Pelodiscus sinensis: one gene and its partner. The protein of the gene in region 2 purifies or fractionates together with the protein of the main gene of each other region. This does not show direct contact. Links are inferred from orthologs where the notes say so. Each region holds a gene or a part of one and is shown on either strand. Other genes may lie near its edges.

Region 1 (10,143 bases), on a different chromosome or scaffold from region 2:
GGAAGGTCTGCAGCCACCTGTAAGGGGAACTGCAAGGAGAACCCCCAGACACAACTCTGCACGGCAAGGGAGCCCCCCATGAGCAACGCATGGGGGGACCCCCAGCCCATCACCCGCAATGAGGGCAGGAGAATCCCGTAACCAGGAAGGGGAATCCACAAAGGGGAGCCCGCCCCCAGGCTGTAACCCAGAAGCAGAGCACAGGGCAGGGGGGACCCCCGGGAGACCCACAGCCCGTAACCCGGCGAGGGGCTGCAGCTGGAGAGAAACCGCCCTCCCCCCAGCTCTCCTACCTCTGGGGAGGGACATGGCTGGTCTCGGGGCTGGCGCGGGCCGGTTGCTGCGCTGAGCGGGGTTAGGCGCTGGCGGAGGCCGGGGGCTGGAGCATGTCCCCGGCTGGCGCACAGCAAGAAACTCAGCCCGGGACTGATGAGGCAAGCAGCTGGGCGGAGCGCAGACAGCCACGCCTCCGCAGCTGGAACTCGATCGCTATTGGGTCCCTGCAGGGAAGGGGGCGTTGTCGCCGTAGCCACGCCCTCCTGAGCCACAGGGTGCTGACCTCCAGACTGGAGGCTGAGGGGCGGGGACCCGAAAATTCTACCCAAAATTCCACAAAGGACCCGGTTCCTGACCCCAGATAGTCACTCATCCACCACAGGGAGGCTGGTCCAAGGGGGCAAGATCAGCTAGCACATTGCACCGTAGCCAGCCTGGTGCAACAGTGGCCACGTGCCATGCGAAAACGTGGCCTAAGACAAGTCAACTCCCCCCCTCCTGGCCCGTCCACTATGGCAGATCAGTACCACGTTGCAGCAAAATGTGACCGTGCCACGTCCAAAAGTGCTAGGCATAATCCCCAAACACGGCTGCCTCTCAGCAAAACACTGCTGCTGAGCATCAAAGCGGCACTGGGACGAGGCAAAAAGGGAGCTGAACCGTGTCAGAACATGGTCACGGTGCTGCAAAACATCACGTTGCAACAGAGCATCACTGTGTTGCATCATCAGAGTGTCATCGTATTGCTTTCAAAATGCTGCCCCGTTGCAACAAGCTGAATCACATGACAGTAAGAGGTCATCAAATTCCAGTATCACTTTAGAAATACCCTTTTTCTAAAAAGCGCTGTGATGCAATTATGCAAATGAAGCGTGGGATATTTAAATCTCTGCTTCATTTGCACTTTTGATTTGCCCAATTTACATCCCTCTTTCGACAGAGGGATGTAGTTTAGACACACTGAGAGTGATGTGATTTCAGGGAAGCAGAGCTCAAAAGGTTCGTGAGCCTCATCTAATTCTGCCAGCTCCAGAGAAACTGTCCAGCAGCCAGGCCCTCATTACCTGCTGCCTTAGGGACCACCAGTAAAGTGTTCTCTGATGCTACCGACAGAAAACCATCATTGCAAATAAGGAACGGGCATGCTGACGACCATGTCCTTGAACGCTGCTCTGAGTAGACCTACCACTAGTCGCAACAGTATAGGAGAAAAGTGGTCACAAATTCCTTGTGTAAAAAAGAATTCCAGTCCCCAGTACGTCACCAAAGCGGCATCTCTGCACCCTTTATGCTGAGAGGGGAACTATTTCCCTTCCTAGAAAAAGTCACTGACTGAATTTCTCCTGTCATAACCTTGATAAAGTTAACATCCTCCCTGCCCACAACTGTGTTTCCTGGAGCGGTTTAATTTGACCTCCGTGTATGTGTGGTACCTCTCCCAACGGGCTGACGTGGGTGGAACCGAGCAGGGAAAATCTTAAGAACTGTAAATAAAGCTATTTGACTGAGCTGACCTTTGAAATGCTACCTTTGCTGCCTCACAGCCTCTGTACTCCCATGTGCCAGCCCCAGACACGGCGCAGAGGAAAGACAGCAGCACTACAGAACCCTACCATACACGGGGAACCGGGAAGAGAACTGAAGCATTAACAAGACTGGTGGCTTGAGGGTGGGGGAAAGGAAGTTAGTGATACCTCGAGAGGGTTTGGTTTTGCATCCAACACGTTCTGTTCTGTCAGATTGCTGATTTGGGCATGAAAAAAAAAAAAAAAAAAAAAAACCACACAAAAGAAGGAGGTGGCTAGATGGGAAACCCGCTGTTCCATCCAAGCCACGGAGGAACAGTAAGATAACAGTCTGCTTTAAAGGCAAGATAACAGATCAGGTGACAATCTCCTCACATAAAGACGAGTAGCACCTTAGAGACTAACAAAGTATATAGTAAAAACTTTTAAAAAAAACCAATGAATCGTCTAGCAGCACCTAACAAAATACGTAGATTGTATCATGAGCTTTCATGGGCAAAACCCACTTCAGATGAGGGGGACAGGAACTCAGCATTTATAATAGAAGAAAGGGGGAGGGGTACCAGTCAATTGTAGTGCCGGTGCTAATGAGACTGAGTGGGCGGGGAGTGTTCCATACTTACTTTGGATGTAAATGAGGCGTTAAATGTGTGGAAGTCTGGCATTATCATGGGACATCCATTTAATGTCTTTATTCAAGCCCAGGTGAAGCAAAGACACAAGAGTTGCCTCCCTGCAGAGAAGCCAGGGCAATATTTGCACCATGCTGCAGCCTGAAGAGAGCAATCCAAGCAGTGGAAAAAGAACACTGAGTGGAGTCGGTCACCCCCCCCCCCTCCCCGGGCATTTCCTATGAGAAGCTGGCTTTGTTGCATTTTTGCAGAAGTTGAAAACAAGGCACAAGCAGTGAACCAGGAGGAGGAAAAAAGCAGTTCATAAAAAGCCCCTTCCAGTCAGAGCCGACTGCAGACCAAAAAAAAAAAAAGTCACCTGTTAACCTATGCTGAATCTCAGCTCTGAACAGCAGCAGGCTCCAAGTTGGGCACTCAACTGTAGTGCAACAGGACTTGTGCAAAAACACACACAGAGTTGTGTTTGGCAAATTCTTAAAAGAGGGAAAAAAGACAAGCTTAGCTGCAGATTTTTCTGTCCTCATGCCGGCCTGTGCACCTACACCCGGTATTGCAACCCAATGCATGCAAGTTTCCATTAGCTTTCAAAATAGCTACCTGGCCACAAATAGAGAGCCCCTCCGAGCAAGGACACAAAGCAAAACCACACGGAATGACATAACAAAAGTTCCACAACCCCTTTCGCCATTTGAATGGCTCTTTAGATCTCCCAGATACGTGTTTTGGAAATTGCAACATATACCTTGTTTCTTGTCCATGGTTTCCAATTCCCAGAAATGAAGAACAGAAACGGCACGCCTTGAAGCAGTTGGTGGAAGGGAGCGAGCGGGGGGGGGATGTCTGCAAGATCCACAGCGTTTGCTGCAAAGAGTACCGCTTATTTTAAAAAAGCACGCATGGTACAAAGTATTCAACAGCCCTTTCCACCGATCTCTCTTTCCTGCCCTCCACACCCCATGCACGGACTAGATGCAATTAGATCATTCTAAGTTTCGCAGCAAAAGAGTGCGCGAGAGGAAAAGAGAGACATGGCAGCATACAGAGTTCCTCCACAGGCAGCTGCTGAAGTTGGCCCGTTTCAGCTCAGATTACACTTGAGAGCAGTTGTAAAAGCTGCAGCCGTGAAATAGCACATGATGTCAAACAGGAAACTGGACGGGAGCCAGTTACGGAGGCCATAGAAGTGCAGTTTTCCCCTCCTCCTCAGCTCCCCCAGCCAGCTCTGCCCCACCGCCCCCCCCCCAATATTCTGCGGCCAGCCCCATTCTGCCCGACCCCCCCCACCACCAACCAGCCCTGCTTCCCGTCACCTCCTGCATCTCCCTCAGCCAGTCCCATTGCTCCTCCCACTTCCTGCTCCTCCCCCCATGAAGTGTCTGGGTTTTTTTTTTTGTTTTTTTAAATGACTACCTGGTAACCCCAGCAGTGATCCTATCTCTGTGACTACCACAGAGATTTAAACTGAGAAGCAACTTGCTTCCCCCCCACCCTCCCCGGTTCCAAACACCCCCAGCCCCCATGCTTATCTGGTTCTGCAAGGCACAAAATGGTCTTGGAATCATTTTTTTTTTGCTCAACAACTTTGGTCCCCCCCCCCCCCCCATAATTTTTTCTCGGTGTTTTTTTTTGGAGGGGGGGGGAGAAGAGTTCGGTATTTTTGTTCCAACCATCTGGCAACCCTACCTACCAGAGCTTGCAATCTTGCCCACACTGTGTCAACAATAAAACTAAATCTTTTTGGAGCAGGCAAGTGCCAGCTTCTGCAGCGAAGAACAGCAAATGATTGCCATGAATAACAATGCAGTGGAGGGGGCGGGAAGAAGACTCAAAGATCTTGTAGATCTTGTTTAAAATTAATAAGAGGAAGGTGCACCAAGTCCTGCAGTAGTTATGTTGAAGGAAGCCAACTTCAACACCACTGATTATGGTCAGGGTGCGTGTCCGCTGAGAGAAAGATGCTTGCATTTATTTATAGAGCAGGTGACAGTCAAATTACTGTGCTTCTGACAACTATTACTACAACAAATAGTGGAAACGTTGTTCCATTACAATACCAGGACGACAAGGAGGACCTCGGGGGTGGCATCGCAGAAAGAAATAAAAAAAAAAAAAAAAAATCACAGTGCCTATAAAGGAAGGGGCGGAGGTAGCAGGAGCTGCAGTATTTTTACACCCCTGTATGTAAAACAGGTGCCGAAACATGTTTATTCTCTCCGGTCCCTCAAACCAGACTGACCAAAGCCAACTCCGGTTCCCGTACTTACGTGCCTGATTCAAACTTTTATTGGTTTCCACCATGAGTCAGCCTGGGAAAGGGAGTGCACTAAGTTCCTTCTTTACCTTACACTAGGAATAGAAAGATGTGCCTCAGTCACTCATGAAATGTTCGCTAGTTGTGCGGACAATGCTGGACCATGTGCACCAAAAGGAAGAAAGGTCAGAGATGGAGACAACTCTACATGCTTAACAAGATTGCTCTAATTTTAAGCAGCATTTATAGCAGGAGTGGGGAACTTGAGGCCTGAGGGCTGCATGTGGCCCCCGGCTTGCCTAGATCCGACCCCTGAGGCTCAGCTCCTCCCCCCTGCATTGGGGAACCTGTGCTGCCACTCCAACCCCCTTCCTGCTCCCCCCTCCCTCCACAGAGCTGGAACACACAAAATCTAGTAGGCTAGGCCACCCTAGCCTCTGGTGTGTGAGAGGAATGGGGGAGGGAGAGGGAGTGTCTGTCTCCTTCTCAGTCGGGGCAATGTCAGTGAGAGGTTGTTTTTTTGGGGGTGTGGTTTGCGCGCTTCTCACTCATGTGTGGCCCCTAACTGATTTTTCTATAGGTCAGCACCCTCAACCCAAAAAAAGGACCCGCAACCCCAACCCAGAAAGACCAAAGAGGATTTTTTCTCGTCAGGTGTGTGGGGGGGTGAGTGGAAGAGTGTTAAATCCCCTGGCTATAGATTCGAGCTGAGATTTCTAAAGTTTCTTAAAACAGGAGCAGCCAAACTGGATGCAACCAGAGATCCATCTAATCCAGTCTTGTCTTTGACATCGGCCTGCAGTGGAGGATTCCAGAGGAAGATGTGGTATAACCTGCCTTTCACACGTGAGCTCATCCTAATCTGACATGGAGACTCACATGAGCCTGAAGCATGGGGTTTAGAATCCCTTCCCAAACGTTGAGCCATAACCATTATAACTCTCATTCTCTTACACCATGTAATCGTTCCATCCATCTTTGAAGCTTATCAAATTCTTGGCCTTAATTTCCTGTGCAATGAATTCCACTGTCTGTTTACATCCAGTGTGAAAAGCATTTTTTTTAATCACTTTGAATTTCACACATCCAATTTCACTAAATGTCCTCTTGGTTTTGTGTTATGAGCCAATGGGCAGACGCTCCGGATCTACTTTCTAATGCCCGGATGAAGCTGAGAAAATTTCAACCTTAGTGAATGAGAAGAACTTGAGAAGAGTCTCAGTCAATGCTTTAGTTAGTGAGACGGATACTATTGTCACAAACTACCAGTCTAAAGGATTGAATGCTCTGCAGACTCCTACACTACAAAGGATGCAAAGTAACTTGACATGCATCATCCAACATTTACTGCTCTGCAGTTAGGCCCTGGAACAAAAGGTATTTTAAAGTTTTTTAATGTTACTTAAGCCATGTGATGTCCAACACATGAGCGAGTAAGGCATCCAACATTTCTCAGATGGGTAAACTGTGGCACGGGTGGGTTAAAAGGTGTTGCCATCCTGCCAGTCAGCTCTAACCAGTAGACAAGACTGCAGCCTTCTTGGCTGTCAAAGTCCACGCTACCTCGTGTACATTGTCAACGCTCAATAAGTGGAAGAGCACACTCTAAACACAGTAGTGATCTAAAACAGAGCTTTCTCCCCCAACAATGGCCTGTTCCACCACCAATCCCTTCTAAATAACTGCAAGCAAATATGCCTCTGGAAATACTGAGACAGGGTTCATACCTAATCAAGGATAATTGAAGACACATGTGGACGATGCAGAGGCTTTGGAAAGACTCAGAAAGAGTAGTAATGGTTAGCCCCTTAACACCAACAACTTTAGCATGGTAAGAAGGGTGCCTTTTCCACCCCTTAAATGTTTGGGAGGGAAACACATTAAGAGCAGGGATCCTAGATAGCAGATAACTGAATAATCAATCGTGTAATCACATGAAATCTTAGCAGTTCCACAATTATTCAATAGTCCTCAGTGGCAGGGCCGGCAGCCAGTGTGCTCCCAGACCCACTCCCAGGGAGCCCCCTGCGGCCCTGCACTGCTGTCTGTATCAGAGGCAGCAGCACAGGGTGGCAGAGGGAGTTAGTCTCCGAGGGGAGCCAGTTTAAAAGCCAGCTCCCCATGCAGACCGGCTGCCTGCTGCACCGCGCTCTTAATAGAGAGGCAGCAGCACGGAGTGGCAACAGCACCGTCCGTGGAGGGGGAGGGGTCTTAGGTTGGCCCCTCCGCGGACAGGAACTGCTACCACAAAGCAGCCTCTGCCCACAGCGGGCCCAGGCTCACTGCAGACAGAGGCTGCTCCGTGGGATGTGGACTTTGGCCCACCATGGACAGAGGCTGCTTTGTGGCAACCTCCCCTGCCCTTCCCCTTGCTGCCTCTGACAGAAGTGGTAGTGCAGGGGGTGGGGGCAGGCAGCAATGCAGAACTGGGGAGGAACCAGCTTTTAAGCTGGCTCCCCCCTAGCACTGGCTCCCCACCTTGCTGCCTCTTATACAGAGGCAGCAAGGGGGGGGAGGGTGAATGCATGTAGTCAACAAGATTAATTAACTGATAAGCCTAGGCTTCTCAGTTAATCCAATAGTCAACGACATATTGACATCCTTTAATTAAGAGCAGTGTTCCCTGTAAGCTGGGCACTTGTGTTGCCACTCAAAAGCCACACAGCTGATTGGCAGAGCACCCACTGCTAGGTTTTGTTTCTACTGGTGATGCACATAGGCACGAGCCTCAGCACAGATTAAAAAAAAAAAATATTCTGCCCATGGATGGACAAGGTTAGAGGGAACACTGATTAAGAGTCCCTTAAAAGAAGAAACATCAAGTAATGCTAAACAGATCTACCAGCACCAGTGGTGCAGGTAGCCAATATTTCAGTTCACTAACCAAAACGTTAAAAGTAACTAACTCTGTTGGTGTCAAACTAAACAATTATTTCAATCTAAAACATTTTTTGACTAACGGGAAGAGGGAGGGGCTGTTTTTTCTTTACTTTTTTAAATAAAACAATTATTCTTCAAAACAAATAAACTGTTTAAAACAAACAAATCAAAAGGTTTTGTTTAAAAAAAAGTCAAAATTGATTTCTCCTCCCTTTCCCCAACCCCATTTTCAACTGGTCAAATCTGACAGATTCATGAAATTTTTGGTTGACCCAGATCTGCATTTTTGACCAAAATTTCATCCAGTTCTATGTCCAAACACAGGAATTTTTTTAGACTAACTTGACAGGGCCATCTTTTCATGCTAGGTTTGTATAGGGCCTAGCACAACGGTGTCTAAGCCTGGAGGTGCTGGTTGCTATCACCATACACGGAGGAGTTGATTATATGGGGAAGGATTAAACCATCAAGCAGGGTCGAGCAAGAGAATAAGCCACAACACAGACCCAAACTCCAGATGGGATAAAGACCTTGAAATTAAAAGACTATCAAAATTGCAAGGTCACTTTTAGAGATTGCATAGCTGAAAATTCAGTTTCCACGTCTATACCTACTCAGAGCTGGCTGCGTTCAGAACCCATAACTACACAGAAATGGGTAATAAAAAAACAAAACAAAAAACCTGTTCCACTTATGGAAAGGGGGCCTGTGTTTAACAGAACCTCTCAACATCTTTCTACCCTCCAATAAAAATGCAGTGCCTCCCAAATAGCAGTCAGAGAGGGGATTCTCAGCTCCAGACAATCCCCAGTGTTACAAAATGTACTGCTGCACTAGGCTTCTAACAATCTAATAGGCACTTAACGCTGCATACAGACTACAAGGCAGCTGCAACAACAAGAAGTCCTCTGGCACCTTAGACGCTAACAGATGTATTAGGGCATAAGATTTCAAGGGTAAAATCCACTTCATCAGATACACTGGAGTGGAAGTTACCGAGGTAGGGGTGTATTATAAAGGGGGAAAAAAAAAAGGAGGGTACTTGTGTAAATGAGGCAGCTAGTTTTCTCTGTACAGGATGCAACATTCATGCCCCTGAGGGCCCAAGTATGCCCCCATGCAAAATAAATGCAACAATCCACACGTCACACTTGAAGTCTTATGTGCTCTGGCAAGATGCACCTCAATCCGTGGATTCTGTTGCACGCTAGTGTGACGGATGCAAAGTTCTGCAGCAGTGACCAGACCATTTGTTGTTTTTTTCTGTAACAGACTAACTCGGCTACCCCCTGAAGCTATTTAATTCAAGCGATTCCAATGTGAAAATACAGTCATCTCTGAGTAAGAGGTCTGGATAGCCTCACCAATGCTATGCTGTGCCCACACTCCCAGTTTTCAGTATAAACAGATCATGGGACAGTACTGACCGCAAGGCAGGGGCTGGAAGTCAGGGGAAACCTGGGGATTTTGGCAGATGCAGCTGGAGTTTTAGGGACTGGGAAGGAGCACCGGGTTGTGGGATAAACACATTCGCTCAATGTGACCAGCAGTAACGTAGTTCACAATACTGATGTTTAAATTGAAATTGCCTGCTTTAGGCTTCAGAGTTAATGCCTCATCAAGATGTGTGGAGCAGGTAATACCTGTCTGAGCTACTGGTGTGGTCCATCTGCACTACCAGGAAGACCCCAGTGCACTGGTAACATTCTCAGTGTCCAAGCTACCCGATGGGTTAGATCACAGACATCCCCTTGAGATTGGCACCTGATGGGCTGATCATACCACTGAGCCTGCCTACCTACCCTCTGGGGCACCGCCACCACCCTGTCCCGCTAAGCCAGAAGCTCTGGTCTCCCCCAGCAAAGACACGGAGTTGGGGGTAACAGCAGAGTAACATAGACCCTGAGAACAGCCCAGCTCTGGGAGGAGGCTCAGTTACAAGGACTTGACAGCACCCAGAAGCACAGCCCCAATGGGACCAAAACCTCAAACAAATCCATCTTTTTCTGTATAAAACTTTTATACATGGTAAGCTTATAAAGTCCCCCCCCAATCAATGAATGAGAGATATGCACAGCTGTTGTGCTCCCTCCTCCTCAGTAACAATTCTTTACACTGTGTTTAATAATAAACAAAAGTGATGGTAGTAAGTATAAAATGTAGGATTTAAGTGGCTGCACATGATAACAGACAGATCAAAGTAAATTACTAAGCTAAAACAAACAAAACATTCCAGCTAAACTGAATACACTAAGAGAAATTACCACAAGTCATAATTGGTCACCCTAGACCTCATTGCAAATGAAGGTCTTCAGGCCGGAGTTGATCTTTTTCCTGACCTGGGTCTAATAGCTTCTCCCCTCATTAGAGTTCTTCTATTTTTCAGGTCTTACCACCCCTTATATAGAATGTCCCCAGAGCAGGAAGTCTTTGTCCCATTCCCCCCACATGCCCCTGTAGAAAAAGATCAAACTTAAGATGGATTCCAGCACCAGGTAGCATGGTCACATATCTTTGGAGGACCAACCACAGTTTTTCCTGTAAGCCTAAACAAGACTATTCACAGATCCTTGCCTTG
Region 2 (9,200 bases):
TTGGCTTTGCAGCTATATAGAGGCAGAATGCCATGGTAAAATTCACAATACTTTTATTAAATTTGTGTAAATTATGGCAAAGAAAGAAAAGCAATGTCTTTATATTTACACAGCTTTGCTCAAAAGCCACTTAAGCAAGCAAAAAAAGCATTACCTAAGCGTGCAATTATGCTATTATGTCAGAGTTCTAACTGCCAGAACAAAAGGAGCTCATGGTAAAGTCTGGTCTCCCATCAAAAGAGTTCGTTCCTTGAGCTTCTGATGCCAAACCTAATATAATCTGAATTTAAAACCTTGATGCAGGCACATGTAGCTGAAGGGAAAATGAATATACCACAGTAGAGCCATAAACACAGGAGTCTATTGATAGCCCTACTAGGGATGTACGGGTATGTCTACACTACCACCCTAGTTTGAACTAGGATGGTTAATGTAGGCATCTGAAGTTGCAAATGAAGCCCGGGATTTAAATATCCCGGGCTTCATTTGCATCTTGCCGGGCGCCGCCATTTTTAAATCCCCGTTAGTGCGGACTCCGTGCCCGTGGCTACACGCGGCACGGAGTAGGTAGTTCGGATTAGGCTCTCTAATACTGCATTTTTACAAATAATAAGAAAAAGTTATTTTAAACATTTTAACTAATGTGTTCCAAACACATACAGATCTGGTCAAAACTTAGCTCCAAATTCTCTCTCTCCTTTTGTAAAGAGCATTTAATATGATCATTCTGGTTCTATAAAGTCTTTACAAATCTGATAGGCCATTGCTATTTCCCTTCCCCAACGCCCCTCCCATTTACCTTACCTATTTGATAACATGAAGCTCTCAGGCTCTGTGGCCTTGCCAGACTGACTGCAGCCAAGTAACTTAGTGAATACACTGCCAGCAAGTCAAACATGGTCCCAGTAGCAAACTTGAAACTATGTAAATCAGGATAGAGGACAGAATTCAGAGACTTTCTTGGCAACTGTTACACTCCGTATACATAGTTCTGTTTAATCCCAGCTGTCTTAAATAGTTTATCCAATTGATATATGACACAGTCTCTTCCAAACATATGAAGACTATCCCAAGTTTTGGGTCCACATAAAGAAGATGTTGAAATATTCACATTGGACTTTATTTTCAAAAGTGCTGAAATCAAGCGGAAGTAAATGGGAACTGCAAGAGCTCAGTACAGTGAGAGAGGGGAAAAAAAACACTACAGGCAGTCCCCGGGTTACGTACAAGATAGGGACTGGAGGTTTGTTCTTAAGTTGAATTTGTATGTAAGTCGGAACTGGTACATATTGTAGGGGAAACTCTAGCCAAACATTTCTCCAGAGCTCAGTTTTATTCTCCCATACCTCACTTCCCTCAGTCCTTTATTCTCAAGCTGAGGTGTCTGCTGAGAAAAGCCGCTCCGCGTCTCCGTGGTCTGCTGGGGGGAAGCAGCTAGTGCGGGGTTGCCTCACCCCGTTTGTAAGTAGGGATACGATGTAAGTCGGATCCATGTAACCTGGGGACTGCCTGTATATGTATATTTGAAAATGGTGGTTCCCAAACTGAGCTCTGTAGCAAGACAACCAGAGCTCCAAAAAGTGCTACCTGGTGGTGCGGGCAGAGCTAGAATTAGTTCCTTTTAGAATTAGTTCCTTCTTTCCCCCCAAATAACATTAAAGGAAACTAATGTATTTTAGCTGCTCCTTTTTTCCATGTAAACAATGTAGTTGTCTGAGGGATATTACCTAAATACCAATGGAAGGGGCTGTAGTCCAAGAAATAGCCTCTTTGTCAAGACATGGGACAAACCACAAGAGTGTCTAAGAATCTGTTTTAAACTATACTGCCATTTTACAGCTCAATAAAAGAACAACAACAACTAGAAAAGACTTGTAGCATTCTAAATTTTATGTTAGGCCCTCATCATGTAGTTATATCAGGCAGATGTACTCCCATCCTTAGTCACATCCAGAGCCCTGTTGACTCCACCTCAGTGGAATCTGCAAAATTAAGAGAGAGACTCACCTAATACAGAATCAATGAGGACTGAGAAAATTGGGAGACAAGCGCTAAAATGAGAGGCGCAACTAACACTGTATGGCAGAGACTGAGACAGATACACACCTTCTACCCCAATGTCCCAACTACCAAGAAGTGCAAGAAACCTATTTCTTCAAAGTGTCAAGAATCACAGAAAACATCTGAGAGGAAAAAGTGGGCCTGACCCTGTGTTTGAGGTTCCATTTTCTGGTAATGATGGATGGTCCAGAAAAATGGAACCTCAAGCACAGTGTGTAACCCTAATCTGAGAGAGATATGCCTACCTCTATCAAGGGAAAGGGAGTCCAGGGGAAGCTGCTTGTCTTTTGCTTACATGAGTAGTAACCTTTGCACAGCATGTCATCCCAACAAAGTGCCACTGACATATGAACAAAAGAGGAAGTAACTGACACACTACAGCAGCAGGAACAAACCTGTGTCTCTATGGACTATATAGATTAGCTTCCGTCTACCCTTGGGCAGGGATGACAGATTGCACCCCAGAATGTCACACCCAGCAAAACAGATCCTAGGGTGACAACCCCCACCGCCACTGCCCAGCTGTTGTGAAGAGCGCCCCTGGGTGGGAGGCAAGGAGCCAGGCAGGGGAAGGAAGCCGAGCGAGAGGCTGTGGGGTCGCTCACCTGCGTTGTAGAAGCGGTCCAGCACCGTGGTCTCTCCGAAGTCCAGCTCAGCGAAGTGCACGGTCTCCAGGGAGGCCCCGACAGCCTCGCACGCCTCCCGCAGGCTCTGCAGGGCCCCGCTCTCCGCCGCCGCCACCAGCAGCAGCCCCTGGCTCTCCTCGTTGATCACGTAGGACACCGTGGTCCTCCGGGTGCTGCCGCCCTTAACCCGGCCTCCTGTCCCTGTCCCCGCAGGGCAAGCAGCGCCGCTGTCCTCGTTCCAGTAGGTGCCGGCTGGCGGCGCGGACAGGAGGCTCCGGGCGCCCCCGTCTGCCCCCGGCGCCGCTCTCCGGCTGAGCCCGTCTTCGTGGGGGCAGGCGCTGCCCGGCGGGCTGGGCACCGAGAAGCTGATGCCCTCGCTGCTGTCGCTCATCCCTGCGGGGCGCCGTGCCCTGGGCTCTGCTGGTGCCGCCGGGGCTACGGCGCTGCCATGCCGCGCCGCCCGCCGCGCTCGCCCTGCCCCGTCCCTGCCCGCCGCCGGCTCCTACAGGCAGCAAGCGACCCCCACTCAGCGGCTGCCGAGCTCGAGCCGAGCCGGGAGGGCAGCGCAGTCTCCTGGGGCGCCCGCCAAGGGCACCATCGCGCGGGGCTGGCTTCACCTGCGGGGCAGCGGCCACCTGGCGAGCGCGCTGCAGGGCACAGCCTCTTCCCGCAGCCCCTCGCACTCGCTCTTCCTTCGCCTGCCTCCCGCCGCTCCGACCAGCCGCCAAACCACTTGTGGGATCGCCGCTCCTCAGCCTCGCCGCTTCATCCAGCTTGGATGGCTGCACCCACAGAGCAGCAGCCCTGCCAGTAGCCGCCCGGCTCCTCCCTTAGTCCCGCCCCTGGGCCTGGCTGCATTCCTGCGCTCGCGGCGGCTCTGGCCGCGCCAAACTTTCGCTCAGGCTTGGTGCGCGACGCTGGCTCCCTCTATGGCTCCTACCAGCTGTTGATTCGCTTTTTCCCTGCACGGCGCCCTCTGCTGCTCTCTTGTAGGCGGCTCCGTTAGGTTAGCTGCGTGGGGGTGGCTCCTCAAGAGATCTTAGCGTCTCAATGCGAGTATTAACAAAAAATCAAATGCAGTGGACGCTATCAATGGTTAGTTTTATATTTATCAATGTAAATTTTAGGAAATGTATGGGAGGGAGGTCAGCCAATAATTATTTAATACTAGAAAATGATTAAAAAACAACGAATGATCCTGCAGCACCTTATACCTACACTGGCAGGTTCTTGGCAAGAACTCTTGTGCAAGAACACGTCCACACTGCCATATGCTTTTTGCGCAAGAGTGTCCATGGCAGTGTGGATGCTCTCTTCCGCAAGAAAGCTCTGATGGCCATTTTAGCCATAGGGTTTTTTTGCGCAAGAAACCCCGGCCGTGCATCCATACTGCCCTCTGGCGCAAAAGCTCTTGCACAAGAGGGCTTACATTTGTTAGAAAAGAGCATAGCTCTTGTGCAAGAAGCCCTCTCCTCCCAAGCTTCACTGTAAATCTTCTTGCGCAAGAGCGGGCAGGCAGTGTGGACTCTCTGCACAAGAATGGCCGTTCTTGCACAAGTACCCGGCAGTGTACACATAGCCTTAGAGTCTAACAAAAATATATATAGTATAGTATATGATGACATTCAAAAAGTGAAAACTTATAATCATGAAAACCCATATTGTCAAACTCACATATCACAATATACAAAGTAACATTCTCAAGCAATATTTTTCTTATGTTATCTAGCTGTAAATTTTGTCAGAATGGATGACAATTTTTTTCAGGGTGTGTTTGTGAACAGTAAAATCAACATTTACTGCTTGAATATTGACCCTTACAAGCAAAGAGGTTTCCAAATATCCCGTGCTGTGTGTATCATCTGGAACTACTATTCCTTTCAGCTTTGAAAAAGCTAAGGAACTAGCTGACACCTCAGAAACTCTGTTGACTCACGCTGTCTCCCAAGACAGACATTTCCCTCCCCTCCATATATACCTTTGTATTCACCTTAATCCTTTTCTTGTAAATTCTCTCTAACTGAATCATGAAAACAAGCTTAAAAATATAGTAATTTTTTTGAGACTTGCTTAAAGAGGCAGACAGCTAGGTCTCACAAGTTTAGTGGTTAAAAAAGTTCTACAATAAGCTAATAGAAATACAGTTTAAATCAAAGAAGACACCTTAGAGAAGTGCATTTTTATCTGAAGGTATGCATTTCCCTCCATCTTTCTAGTCTGTAAACTTTGAAGCATAGAGAGAATCCAGTGTAAGAGAACCTGACTATATCAGAAAGTTAAACTAATTAATCTTCTTTCCTTGTTCACACTGAATGCACAGCAAAAAGTCAACAACTAACATGCAAGTGCCAATAATACTTTTCACTTGTAGCAGTTTTTCACTGTCCATACAAGTGTATATATGTAAAAATCACGATTAATCGTATGTGCCTCCTCTTTGAAACGCCGCTGCGGCATTTCAACAGGGCAGCACTGCATGGAGGATCAGCTAGAGTCCCCAGCTGACCCTGGGCTCTATGCAGCACTTCCCCTTTGAAGCGTCGGGGCAGCGTTTCCAAGGGGCAGCTCAAGGCGGAGCCCAGGATCAGCTGGAGTGCGCAGCTGATCTCCGGTAGGGACGTTAAAGACTAGTCGACTATCCGATAAGCAAGTCAATTTCCCCCCTTTGATGCCTCCATAAGATAGAGGGGAGGGGGTTCTTCAAAGTGGCAGCACCACGTAGCTGTGCGGCGCTGCCGCTTTGAAACCCCAATGTGGCATTTCAAAGGGGCAGTCATGGAGCCCGGGGCCAGCTGGGGACTGCCCAGCTGATTCTGGGCTCTGTGTGGCAGCAGAATCTGGGGTCAGCTGGGGGCTCCCAGCTTATCCTGGGCTCCCCGCGGCAGCAGAACCCGGGGTCTGGGGAAATTCTGCACAGAGCCCAAGATCAGCTGAAGAATCCCCAGCTGACCCCAGACCCCAAGGCTGCCCCTTTGAAATGTGCACAGAGACGAATCCCGGGCTCCACACAGCATTTCCCCAGGCTCCGGGGTCATCTGGGAAGAACCTGGTCAGCTGATCCTGGGCTCAGGGGAAATGCCCTGCGGAGCCGAGATCAGCTGGGGAGTTCCCAGCTGACCCCCGGCTCCACTGCACCTTTGAAACACATGGAGGTGGCATTTCTAAGGGGCAGCCACCGCACAGCTGATTCCCAGCTCAGCTGAGACGCAGCTGCCCCTTTGAAACACCACCTCTGTGCCTTTCAAATGGGCAGTGGAGACTGGGGTCAGCTGGGGAGTAGAAAGAGGTGTACCGATGTCAAAAAATCCCTCTGTTTTTTCAATTTTTTTTCAAAAGAATTTGATTGCAGTGTGGACATAAGTGAAGGGGTTTTTTTTTCAGAAAAACTACCGTTTTTACGAAAAAACTCTGTAGTGTAGATATACCCTGAGCCTTGCCTGCAGCCTTCAACACTGCTGAATTTCTAGTCCATGGACAACAAGACATGAAACTGACCAGAAACAGAGTCTGAAACTGACTAATCCACACTCACCCTCCAGGAAGGGATACATACAAAGAGCAGACAACACAAGTATGAAACAGAGTTTTTAAACATTAACAGTTTTGAAAACTATCTGGTGTGTTAGAAAGACAGTGAATGCATTATAAATGTTTGGGGACAGATTTAGCAGCAATCTCTGTCAGCACAAAATAGCTGAAGACCCGGTTTGGCTGGCTGGTTAAAGCTAATATTCATACCTTCACACACACACACAGGTTGTACAAGTACATGAGTAGCTTAAACAGAACCTGCATAGCATAAGCTTTCCTTTGACATCTCACATGGCCCACTTTGTACCCAATTTGGGGCAAACACACACCAGTGTGTACAGTAACTGTCTGCCTACTCACATTAAAACCCAATAATGTGACACTGAGCTAAAGGAAAATCCCTGAAAGAGATCTGCTGATCACATGGAAAGTTACTGAACCCAGCTTTACTATTCTCCCCATTTTACAGATGGAGAATCTAGGCCCAGGGAGATTAACTGATTTGTTCAAAAATCACAGGGGAAGTCTGTGATGAAATATAGAGCCAGGAATTGAATCCAGGAGTCTAACCTCACCTTCCTCTCTAATCCCACTTGACATATGCTGCCAGCCAACTCACATCAGTTCTGATCAAAAAAACACTATCAGATCACAGCAGAGACTGTAGTTCAAAGTATTTCACTTCCCTTGCTGCTGGAAGTTATCTCTTTGGATTAGAGATTCCTACCTGCTTTTCTTGCAATAAACCTGGCAGCTAGCCATTTTTCTAAGGGCTAAATGCTACATAGTTGGGCAATGAACCTGTGGGGTTGTGGTAAATAGCATGGGGCATCATCAAGCTACTTTGTGATCCTGAGCAAATCTTTCAATGTTGCTTGGGAGTTTGTCCCGGGAAATTGGAACCTTAATTTCTAGATGGAACATGCCTGCCACCTTCTGGTAATTTCTCATTAGGGTGTTTTTTGTTTTGGGCTTTTTTGGTTGTTTTGTTTTTGGTTGGTTGGTTTACTTGTTTTCATTGTTGAAATACTGCTGAATCTGTTTTAGGTATTTCTATATAAAACATGCTTGTTAGTGGCTGTGCTTCCTGAAGTTAAGCAAAAGCTTTTGTTGACTTTTAGATAGCTAAGGAACCAGTTCTTGATATACACATCTTTTCACAGATTGGGAAGAGGAAAGCGGGAGTGTTTTTTACTAGTTTTATATCTCCTCTTTCTGTTGAAAAGTACTTTTTGCTTTACTTGGTTTGATATTGAGTAATATGTTTCGTTTCAAAGTGCAAGGAGAGGGGGCAATGGAAGCTGAGATGATTGTGCTGGGAGTGGGGACAGTGTGCAAAGTCTCTTCCCTCCCCAATGCATGGCACAGAGAGGCACATGGAACAGCCAGCCGTTTTGACTACACTTATGTCCACACTGCAATTGTGTTCTTTCAAGAGAAAGTCAAAAGAACGCAGGAGTTTTTCTGACAGTGGTAAACCTCTTTCTATGAGGAAGCAGCCTTTTTGTGAAAGAGCTTTCAGAAAAAAGCATGTGTGGATGGGGAAGAGGGGTTTGTTCGTTTTTTAGAAAGAAGAGGCATCCAGGAAAAAGCATAGGTGCCCAGATGACCATTCCGTCCATAGTAATCACAACTTAAATGCGAGATAGCGTCCAATGAATGTGGACGCTATCTTTTGAAAAAGCAGATCGTTTTTTCAATGCGCTTTTGCTGTGTGGATGCTCTCTTTCGAAAGAAGTTTTTCTGGAAGATCTCTTCCGGAAAAGCTTCGTCTAAAAGAAGCCTACACTCTAGACATAGACCCTGAGGGTCCCTCTGGGCTACTGGCTGGGAGCCACCTAGGTAAGTGCCTCCCTCTGGAGGCGGCATCTGGTACCCCACCCCTCCATGCTGCCCCAGGTCACCATGCCCTCCTGCCCCAGGTCACCATCCAAACCCTCTGCACTTCCCTCCACCAGACCACAACTCCCTCCCAGACCCTACATCCCCTCAAACATCCCTCCCCAGGTCAGAATCCTCTCCTGCACCCTTACCACCTCCTAGGCTCTGCACCCCAATCTCTTGTCCCAAGTCACAACCCCCTACTCCACTCAAACTCCCTTCCAGACCCCTCTCCTGTAACCCAGTCCCCTACCCCAACCTCCCTTCTGCACCCAACCTCTGTCCCAGACTCTGCATCCCTGCTATAGAAAAATGTGGCCCTTGACCACTTACCAAAATCTTTTGAATGGCTCCCTATCAAAAATCATTGCCCACCCCAGATCTAGAGGTTGATCATGCTTCTGAGATGTACAAACAGATCTTTTTATTTCACAGGAAAATGGGGCACAGTGAAATCATCTGGACTTGTGGAAACCATTTTGTATGATCTGGGGTTTAAGACTATGGTCAGGATGAAGACAGGCAGAGAAATGGACAGGCTAGGGGCATCTAAACAGTGGCCTGGTCCAAAACCTATTGAAGTCTATGAGTCTTTTCATAGACTTCACTTAGCGTTAGGTCGGGTCTACTGTTTTCCCTCCATACCTCAACAAATTAAGAACAAATGATAATATAGTTCCACACTTCATTATCTTTTCCACAGAGACTTTTGATCAGCGGCTACTGTGACCATAGGTACACACTGCTAGCCACACAGCCAGGAAACCAGGGTCATTGGGAGTCAATATGGAGGCATTGGGGCTCTGCAATAGCTGGCTTTGGCTTCCTACATATCCCTGAGACCTCTTGAGCTTTTGTGGGTGCCTGGGTGGAACTCATGGGCTGATGCGGTTGGTCTCAGCAAGGGCCTTCAGAATCTCTTCTCACTGGTTTTTCTGAGGGAAGAGAATCATTTGGGCCTTTGTTATAATGAATGAAGTTCTTTTTCAGGATTTTCATGTACTGCTCTATCTACCTCTTGATCTCATCCCTATTAAATATTCACTTTGTAAGATTTTCCTTGAAATGTTGGCCATTCTACAGGGGTGGTATTTTGGGGAT

What was found.
Region 1: the proteins of MAP3K5 (region 2) and MAP2K3 purify together in Homo sapiens (co-immunoprecipitation; 4 studies listed by BioGRID and IntAct, with this or other methods). This does not show direct contact. The link is inferred for Pelodiscus sinensis from reciprocal best matches to the Homo sapiens genes MAP3K5 and MAP2K3.

The regions. Positions count from the first base shown.
Region 1 is NC_134726.1:32,412,985-32,423,127, forward strand, and holds the start of MAP2K3 (dual specificity mitogen-activated protein kinase kinase 3), read right to left. Parts: upstream 3,802-10,143; 5' UTR 3,773-3,801; coding exon 3,745-3,772; intron 3,679-3,744; exon of another isoform or gene 3,296-3,678; coding exon 3,177-3,295; intron 2,767-3,176; exon of another isoform or gene 310-2,766; coding exon of another isoform or gene 294-309; intron 1-293. UniProt on the Homo sapiens protein: Dual specificity kinase. Is activated by cytokines and environmental stress in vivo. Catalyzes the concomitant phosphorylation of a threonine and a tyrosine residue in the MAP kinase p38.
Region 2 is NC_134713.1:97,631,915-97,641,114, forward strand, and holds the start of MAP3K5 (mitogen-activated protein kinase kinase kinase 5), read right to left. Parts: upstream 3,629-9,200; 5' UTR 3,079-3,628; coding exon 2,667-3,078; intron 1-2,666. UniProt on the Homo sapiens protein: Serine/threonine kinase which acts as an essential component of the MAP kinase signal transduction pathway. Plays an important role in the cascades of cellular responses evoked by changes in the environment.